Coturnix japonica: one gene and its partner. The protein of the gene in region 2 purifies or fractionates together with the protein of the main gene of each other region. This does not show direct contact. Links are inferred from orthologs where the notes say so. Each region holds a gene or a part of one and is shown on either strand. Other genes may lie near its edges.

Region 1 (4,800 bases), on a different chromosome or scaffold from region 2:
AACTGAACTGAAGGAAGAAATGTGCTGCAGCTCACTGCACCGCTGGGAGGACACATGAGGTGTAGCGGCAGGACAAGCTGTTACTTCACTCTTGTTCCTTTCCCCACAGTCACACAGACTGGCCAGGTTCAAGAGTCTGGTCTATAAAACACTAACGTACAAATGGAAATGTACTAAGTGGACCCGGTCAAATTCAACCTGGGACAGAGTGAACTTTGCCCTGCTAGCTTGACTTTTTTCCCTTAATAACCTTAATCCTTTGAACCAACGATCCAGCGCTATTGATACAGAACAGTTAGCGACAGGCATAGCAGACCAATCCTGCTGAAATCCATACAATGAGACAACATTCTGACCTTTTACAGTCTGTCCTTTACACCAGAAAAGCATTGCTACAAAAATACCAAACCAGAACAAAGCCCAGCCAACATTTTGCTGAAAAGAATAGAATTTTATTGAAATACTGCCATCATGTGGCACTACTGAAGCTCGGGAAGGGTTTGCATCACCATTTCTGCTGTACTGCAGTTGTTATAAAGCAGCTGGTGAGGCTTGGAAAGGAACAGAGGACAGAAGCAGTGCTCACTGCTCCATATGTTCTTGGAGCTGAGAATAAAATTAATTAGAACTTCAGCTTTGGTGACCCTGAAGCCTGTAGAGGAAATGTTAAAGCCTCAACATGCCGTAGGCAACACAGAAATCACCTTCTGAACGTATTAACATGGTCAGGTAAAACTAACATAGAATCACAATTAGAAGTCTACAAGTTTAAAGTGCATTCAGAGAGAGTGTTCAGATTGTAGATAGCCAAAAGCAGCTCTGAAGTGAGATGTTCTGCGCCAGCTTTGCTGCCTTTGTAAGCGTGCTATATGGTATGAGATCTGCTGGGGATCAGGAAGAGCTGGGCAGGATTCAGAGGGTCAGTGTGACTGACAGACCGCTCCATTTACATTCCCATTCTGAAAGTTTTCATCAAGCAATACCACACAAATAAGACCAGGCACGCACGTTTCTAACCTGGTCTAATAACAGGTTCTGGGGGGTAGTGAATGAATTAGCACCAACTTCTCAGAGCACCTTCACATGAGTGACTGCATTTGAATGCACCGCACCGTGCAACCTGCGGTAAGAGCTGCCTGTCACAGGACGCACAGTGACTCAGACACAGGACTGACGTGTCTCCCTTCTCTTCCACAGGAAACAAACAGAAAAACCCCACCTCATTCGAAAGGCAAACGATAAGGAGAACCCGTTATAACTGCCCGTGCCTGGAGGCAGCAGCCCGAGGCAACCTCGCTCCGCAGAGCTCGGCTCAAGCACGGCGAACACCTGGTTAAAGTCCTGTTCGTTTCTTTTTCACACTTACATTGTCGAGCAGACAAACTGCCGCGGGGTTTCCACAGAACGGCCGCTTTGTAAAGGCGTCAACCGTGAAAACCGGGACCTGCATCGCCGCGGCGCTCCCCGGCCTTTGCCCTGTGCTCCCTATGGCGCCCTGCCTCAGTACAGCCCCACTTATGCTCCCACAGCGGCAGGAGGAGCCCGCTCGTCACTTCCGAGCACGCGGGGCTCCATCCTCCTGCCGAGGCCCCGGAGCCGGTACCGGGTACAGCTCCATCCTCCGACCCAGCTCCTCGGCGCCACAACGGGCCATTCCGCAGGCGGGAGCTGCTGAGACTCTGCAGGTCGATGTTAAACTTGCAGCTGGACAACGGAGGGGAAGCGAGCAGCACAGCTTTCCCATCTCCCTTCCTGAGCCGGGAGCTGAACGGAGCAGCGCCCGACGGGACACCGAGCGCTGCGGGTGTGTGAGGAGAAAGAATGGCGGCTGTGTGAGGAGAAGGAATGGCGGCTGTGTGAGGATGGTGTCTGTGTGAGGAGGATGGTGTCTGTGTGGTGAATGGCGGCGCTGCAGCTTTGGCGCCAACAGCCGCAGCGCGCGAACACAGCGCGCGCCCGAAGCGCTGCTGCCCCGCCCACGTGACAAGAGGGAGGAGGCGCCGCCCGCTCTCCGCGCACGCGCCGCCGTCCCTTGTTGGCAGAGCTGCGCATGCTCCGCCGCCGTCCGGTCGGGCCGAGCCGTGTGTCGCCGCTATCGCGATAGCCGCGGGTCGGGGCGCCATCCTGCGCGGCGGTTGTGTTGGCTGCTGCCCGCTGGCCGCCTGCGAGCGAGCGGCTTCCCTCGGGCAGCGGCTCCCGCCGGGACGCGTGTAGGGCCGTACGAAGGTCTCCTGGTAAGCGGGGGGGGAGGGTGTTAATAAAGGCAGGGCACGGCTGTGCCGTCGCGGGCTGCCCGCTGCTGGGCGCCGAGGCAGCTCGGGGCAGCGCGGCCTTGAGCGCGGTGCGGGCCGTGGGGGGGCGGCATGGCGGGGGAGGGGCGGGGCGGCTGGAGGAGCCTCGTTATGAGCGGCCGCCATTTTGAGTGCGGAGCACAGCGCGGCTGTACCGCCGGCGGGATCAGCGGCGTGCCGAGCCCCCACACCGGGGCTGGGCCGGACGGAGCTCGGCTGTTCGAAGCACAGAGGAGGTGCTGCTGCTGCTGTGCTGCTGCTGCTGGCGGTGGTGGTGGGGCGCGTGGTGGGGCTGGTGTCGGGATTGGGGCCCGGCTCGGGGCGGCGGTAAATGGCGGCGGAGCGGGAGGGAGCTCCCCTCCCCCCTCCGAGCGCTGGTGACGGTGCGGCGCCGTGTGTGTGTGTGTGTCCGCGTTGGCTGCGGGTTAACGGCCGGGATCTCTGAAGGAGCCGAGCAGCCGCAGCCAGGACGGGCCGGGATGGCAGACAAAGGACGGGCGGTGCGTGCCGGGCGGCCCTTGTGCCGGCACCGCCATGGACAAAAGGGACGGGCCGGGTGCGCGCTGCGCCCACGTGCCATAGACAGCAGCGAGTGGGGCTGAAACCTCGCCAGGGAACTCAATAGCCACAACGGCACCGCTTCGCTAATTAAAAACTGCCTCATGCGTTGCGTATTTGTTTGTTCTTTTTTTTTTTTTATTTAAAGGAAGGGGGGATTTGAGCGTGTGCGGAATCGTGGGATCTCAACATTTCCTTCTTTTTTTTTTTCCTTTTGGAAGCGTTTGATTTAGGCAAAAATGGACTGGAGCGGAAAGCACAACGGGCCCACCGATACGACCAACGATGGGACGGTGGTGCGGCTCCGCGGGCTGCCCTTCGGCTGTAGCAAGGAGGAGATCGTTCAGTTTTTCCAAGGTATCTCTAGTAGAGTCAAAGCATAAAGACCGTAAAAGATAAGTCGATGCTTTGCGAGCCTGTAACTGGTGATGCCCATTAGCGGGGTGGAGGGGGGATGGTTTTAACGCGAATCGCCTTAAGTGAGGTGTATGCCCTGTTCAAATGACTGTAGACGTAGTAAAGTTGAATACATGTCTTAATTTAGTCGAGGTGGTGAATGCATTATGACTATAATCTGTACGTTAGCCATTGGAGCGGTTAAATTGCTTGATCGGTAGCTTTGTTTTCTTCGTGTAACCTAGGTGGGTGTATGTGCACATAGTTAAAGCAAAACAAGTATGGCTAAATCCATAAATGTGTAATGAAAGATCGTGGGCTTGTATTGTTGGGTGATGGGGGAACTGAAGAGTTTTTTTTTTCGTTGTTATTGTTTAGATGCTTTAAGTATTTTCTACAGATGGGAATGTTTCAGCCTTTAACACTGTTCCCCTTGATGGGGTTATTTGTCCTTGGGTTAAAGGGTTGGAAATCGTGCCAAATGGGATAACATTGACGCTGGACTACCAGGGGAGAAGCACAGGGGAGGCCTTCGTGCAGTTTGCTTCAAAGGAGATAGCAGAAAATGCTCTGGGGAAACACAAGGAAAGAATAGGGCACAGGTGGGGATGGAGAGTTTGGGATGGTGTTAAATGGTTATTTTTGGGGGTTGTGGGACAGTAATGCTTTTGGGGGGCTGGGGACTATTATATGGAATGGGGTATTTTAAAAGAATTGTTATAACTGATCCTAAATTGGGAAATATGGTAGATGTGGGGGGTGGGGGAGACAGTATTACTCTGTGTAGATTGCTAAACTTAGAATGTTGTTGCAGTCGTTTTTCGTGTAGGGGAATTTGTGCTAAGTGCTGCCATAGCCAGACATTGTTTTTCAACAGTATGTTTCTCATACTGGAAAGACATGTTTTTATATTTTAATTTCTGGAACTAGAATTTTCACGTTGTAACTTCTGCCATTGTAAAGTTTTACTTTGATACACTTAAAGATTCTTAACGGTTTTGAGGAGGAACTTAAGTTCTGTGGTATCTGTAGTCATTTTCATCACATCGTACGTTTAGTTATTTTTTTCTACTGTTCACACAGCTTATACGTGCATTCTTATTTCTACCTTGAAACTCCTCTCTTGTTTAGATACATTGAAATCTTCAAAAGTAGTAAGAGCGAAATCAGAGGATTCTCTGACATGCCGAGAAGGATGATGGGACAGCAGCGACCTGGACCCTATGATAGACCATTAGGAGGAAGAGGGGGTTATTATGGAGCTGGGCGTGGAAGTATGTATGACAGAATGCGTCGAGGAGGTGGTGGATATGACGGTGGTATGTTTATCTAATGATAGAGGTTCTGTTGTCAGTTTCATGTTTCTGACGTCTTTGTCAAGAAATAAAGAAATGGCAGTAGCTTCCTGTTAGGTTTGACATGCTTCTCAAAAGGAATTTTTGTACTTGTATGGGGGAAAAAGAAATGCAGCTTATTAGTATTTAAGTGTAATGGATGTTATTAGGAAACTGTGTTTACAGCAGAATTGGACATCTCTGTTGGAAATGTCAGTTGA
Region 2 (4,059 bases):
TTAATATTTAAAAGATTCTGTTACGAGCTGAAATTGATTTTGGTGAGAAATTCACCTACTGCTTCTCTGTAGTTAGGTGCAGAGCTCAGGAGCTCTGCAGTGAGGGGTTTCTTTCTTGAACATCTGAATTACATACAAGCAAACCGGGTTAGCTACATTCAAAACTAACCCAGTACTTTACAAATGCAGGAAAGTAGGTGGTGTAAAGGAATCATAGATCAATGTTTTTTTTTCATGTACATTCTATCCAAATTCAAGTTTGTGTACTTTATCAGTCTGTGAGATTTGCATCTTAAGGTCGTATGGTTTAGATAAAAATTAGTTTGCTTCAGGTGAATTGAAATGCATGTATGTTTTTTCCTCCAACAGATGGGTATGGGAGTGGCCGTGGGTTTGGTGATGGGTATAATGGATACGGCGGAGGGCCTGGAGGTAAGTTTGCTTCTGTTTATATTTTTACTTTTCTTCCTCTCACTTAGAACTGTTTATACGTTCATTTACTGTTCGTGTAAAGCTTTCAAAGTGCTATAGGTATTTCATTGGCTTTAAGAAACATTTAAAACTATTGGCTCACATTATAGCTGATGTGGGAAATTGTATGATTATGTCTTGAAAAGCCATAGCCCTCTTTAGAATCGATGCTTTTAGGCAGTCTGGGTAGTGGGTTTTGGTCACAGTTCAGTTGGATGGGAGTTGGATGTGTATCTTCTGAAAACTACTCTTTCCCTTCCCTTGTAGACTTTTCTAGCGAGAAATATCCTGTGTAGAACTTGGTTACCTTCTACACTGGAGAGTTTATTTTAAAGGATTATATTGTCATAGGTGGCAACTTCGGTGGCAGCCCTGGTTATGGAGGAGGAAGAGGAGGATATGGTGGAGGAGGACCTGGATATGGCAACCAGGGTGGGGGCTATGGAGGTGGCTATGACAACTATGGAGGAGGTAACTTACTGGCTTGAAGTGATCAAGATTCAGTTGTAAATTCGTACAAATCATGAAATTTGGGAGGGGTGTGCTGGAGTGAGCAAATCTTATAAATCTTATAAATGGAATGAAAAAGCAGCTGATTTCATCTGTTGCTGGACTACATGTATGATTTTGTTTTTTTAATTGTACAAATAGAATTCAGTGAACACTGTAGCTCATCCAGGTGTGTCTATTCTTGTATTGATAATTCAGGCAATTATGGAAGTGGAAATTACAATGACTTTGGAAACTACAACCAGCAGCCTTCCAATTATGGTCCAATGAAGAGTGGAAATTTTGGTGGCAGCAGGAACATGGGGGGACCATATGGTGGAGGTATGTCTAGATATCCTTTGGAGTGAGACTGGGCAAGCTTCAGTCCTTTAGGGAGGTGGGAGGGTGAGAGACAGGTAAAAACTGCTAGCTTCTATGTTAAAAACCCATGTTTGTTCTGTGTAGTATATGAGTTACAACTTGTAACAAACACTAAACTTACTGGGATTTCTCCTATTGCTTTCTTGTTCTAATGTCACCTTTTCCTGTCATTTTCTGCTTTTGAAATGTAATTTAATATGGTGTATGAAACTTGTGGAATGGAAACCAAAACAAGAAAGCCTTTCTTGTAAGGTTCAGCTTGCAGATAAATAAGCCTTGCAGTGAGGCTCAAAGTTATATCAAATTACATGTGGCCCTTCTTGAGTCTTCTGAGACTTCAGTGTGTAGTTGTGGCACTTCCTAGGCATTAGTAAGAGAACTTAGTGAAGTGTTAAAAGCTGGATGCGCCATCTCTGGAAGTGAACGGGATGTTAATTTTGATAGAGTAGTCAGAAATATTCTGAGGTTGAAGGGCAGAGACTTAAGTGCTGTTTCTCGCTTTGTTGTAATTGTAGGAAACTATGGTCCCGGTGGCAGTGGAGGAAGTGGTGGATATGGAGGGAGAAGCCGTTACTGAGCTTCTGCAAGCTTGCCATGGGTAAGTATGTTTTTTAAGTGCTAAAATTGCAGTGATTCGTGAGAGTAGCTGCAGGAGTTAAAAGTTTTTTTAGGATGTTATCTTTCCTATAAAAAATGGTTAGCTGAATAATTTCATAACCTATTTTTTTACTCTTTACTTCTGTTGAAACAGGCTTCACTGTATAAATAGGAGAGGATGAGAGCCCAGAGGTAACAGAACAGCTTCAGGTTATGGAAATAACAATGTTAAGGAAACACTTATCTCAGTCATGCATAAATATGCAGTGGTATGGCAGAAGACACCAGAGCAGATGCAGAGAGCCATTTTGTGAATGGATTTGGATTATTTAATAACATTACCTTACTGTGGAGGAAGGATTGTAAAAATGCCTTTGAGACAGTTTCTTAGCTTTTTAATTGTTGTTTCTTTTTAGTGGTCTTTGTAAGTGTAGAAGCATTCCTTTGATAATGTTAAATTTGTAAGTTTCAGGTGACATGTGAAACCTTTTTTAAGATTTTTCTCAAAGTTTTGAAAAGCTATTAGCCAGGATCATGGTGTAATAAGACATAACGTTTTCCTTTTAAAAATTTAAGTGCGTGTGTAGAGTTAAGAAGCTGTTGTACATTTATGATTTAATAAAATAATTCTAAAGGAAATATTGTGTAATTTTAGATTTTTTTTTTAACGTTGTAAAATAAGGAAAGGAGTGGGTAGTATAAGGTCCCACAAATAATACAAAGCTATTGTTGTACGTGTAAAATTAAATGCTGGTCAGAAAAAAAAAAGTATGTTGTCTTTAAATGATCAGGTTTAAAGTATCTAGATAACTTAAGGGGTATCTCTGCAAGGAGAAACACCTTTTTAGATCTTTTAGATGCTGCTTCTTCAATGGCAAGGAAAGGAAATATCCCCAGCGAGGTACTCTTCCAGGGACACAGGTCTAGTACAAGAGAACTCTTGAAAACGTCACTAAGTTCAGCCAGTCTTAAAAAGCTGCGCTGTATCTCTGCAAAGCTTTAACTACAATAGTTGTATAAGGATGCCAACGAAGGCTGAGGGAGTAGAGCAAACTTAGTTCTAAGCTTCAGTTAAACTTCTTTAGGTAAGATCTTATTTACTTTTTTCCTTTCTTAATGTTCTGAAACTGAGAAACTAATACTATGTGACAGTATTCTTTCAGTTATGTAGTAATTGTTGTTATGTAGTTTAACATAGCAATGAATTGTGTTAACAATTATCAACTGAAGAGAAATATGTGAAACCTGTTTTCTTGTATTAAATTTTCTACATACAAATTTTTTGTTAATTTCAGCTACTTAACATATTTTTTTCCTACTGGAATCTAGCTATGATATGAATCCTGGACAAGCATAGACTGCTGCCACTGTACTCTGCTACAGTTGAACAAATGAGACCTGCAAGTGTCCATTAGTAAAGCTTTGCAAGGGTTCCATCCCTGGTGTTGGTAGTTAAAATGGTAGGTCACATGTTAATTAAATCATACAACTTTATTTATGCATCCTGCAACATTTTATTTTTTCTTGGGAGACTATGCGTTACGGTGGTTGCAAGGTAATGCAATGAAGGTAGCGCTGTGCTGTTGAAAATGAACTGTGTTGTTATGTGTCTTGTCTGCTGTAATCTATAACGCGTTTCATCCTGAAGGTTCCCAAGTAACTTTAGACTGTTTACGTGTAAGGAAAAAAAAAAAATTGCACCACAGAATACATCTGCCTCTGTGAAGGAATGTGTCGTCCATTCTTGTAACTGCATAAGCAGTTCTTTAGGAGGAGAAGTGAAAGCTTCGAATGAAACTGCAGGTGGTATTTTATGAGTGTACGATGCCATGACCTAAATTGGAATTTGGCTAGAACGATGAGGTTTCCACCATTTTTTATAGTTCTTGCAGCTAATAAACCTTAGTGCCAAATTCAGTCAGCCTTACTCTCATTGCATTGAATGTTTGATCCTCAAATTAACGAAAATTTGCCAAGTAATGAGTCATCGGAGTAAGGGTGGCGTACTCCGTACGATCTGGTTTTTAAACAAAAACCCACAAAACATTTAAAAAAAGAAAAGCCCGCATCCTAATTTCAAAGCTCATTGCTTTTGACAGGCTAATTACTGAAGAACGTGGA

The links. Proteins that work in one complex are often made in the same cells at the same time.
Region 1: the proteins of HNRNPA2B1 (region 2) and HNRNPH3 fractionate together in Homo sapiens (co-fractionation; 3 studies listed by BioGRID and IntAct, with this or other methods). This does not show direct contact. The link is inferred for Coturnix japonica from reciprocal best matches to the Homo sapiens genes HNRNPA2B1 and HNRNPH3.

The regions. Positions count from the first base shown.
Region 1 is NC_029521.1:8,605,885-8,610,684, forward strand, and holds the start of HNRNPH3 (heterogeneous nuclear ribonucleoprotein H3), read left to right. Parts: upstream 1-1,689; 5' UTR 1,690-1,804; intron 1,805-2,036; exon of another isoform or gene 2,037-2,234; intron 2,235-2,397; exon of another isoform or gene 2,398-2,527; intron 2,528-3,070; 5' UTR 3,071-3,088; coding exon 3,089-3,206; intron 3,207-3,708; coding exon 3,709-3,847; intron 3,848-4,376; coding exon 4,377-4,564; intron 4,565-4,800. Other genes in the region: PBLD (phenazine biosynthesis-like domain-containing protein), read right to left, coding at 1,367-1,450.
Region 2 is NC_029517.1:29,444,380-29,448,438, reverse strand, and holds part of HNRNPA2B1 (heterogeneous nuclear ribonucleoproteins A2/B1), read left to right. Parts: intron 1-369; coding exon 370-432; intron 433-822; coding exon 823-942; intron 943-1,179; coding exon 1,180-1,302; intron 1,303-1,856; coding exon 1,857-1,918; 3' UTR 1,919-1,939; intron 1,940-2,092; exon of another isoform or gene 2,093-3,023; intron 3,024-3,267; exon of another isoform or gene 3,268-3,658; intron 3,659-4,059. UniProt on the Homo sapiens protein: Heterogeneous nuclear ribonucleoprotein (hnRNP) that associates with nascent pre-mRNAs, packaging them into hnRNP particles.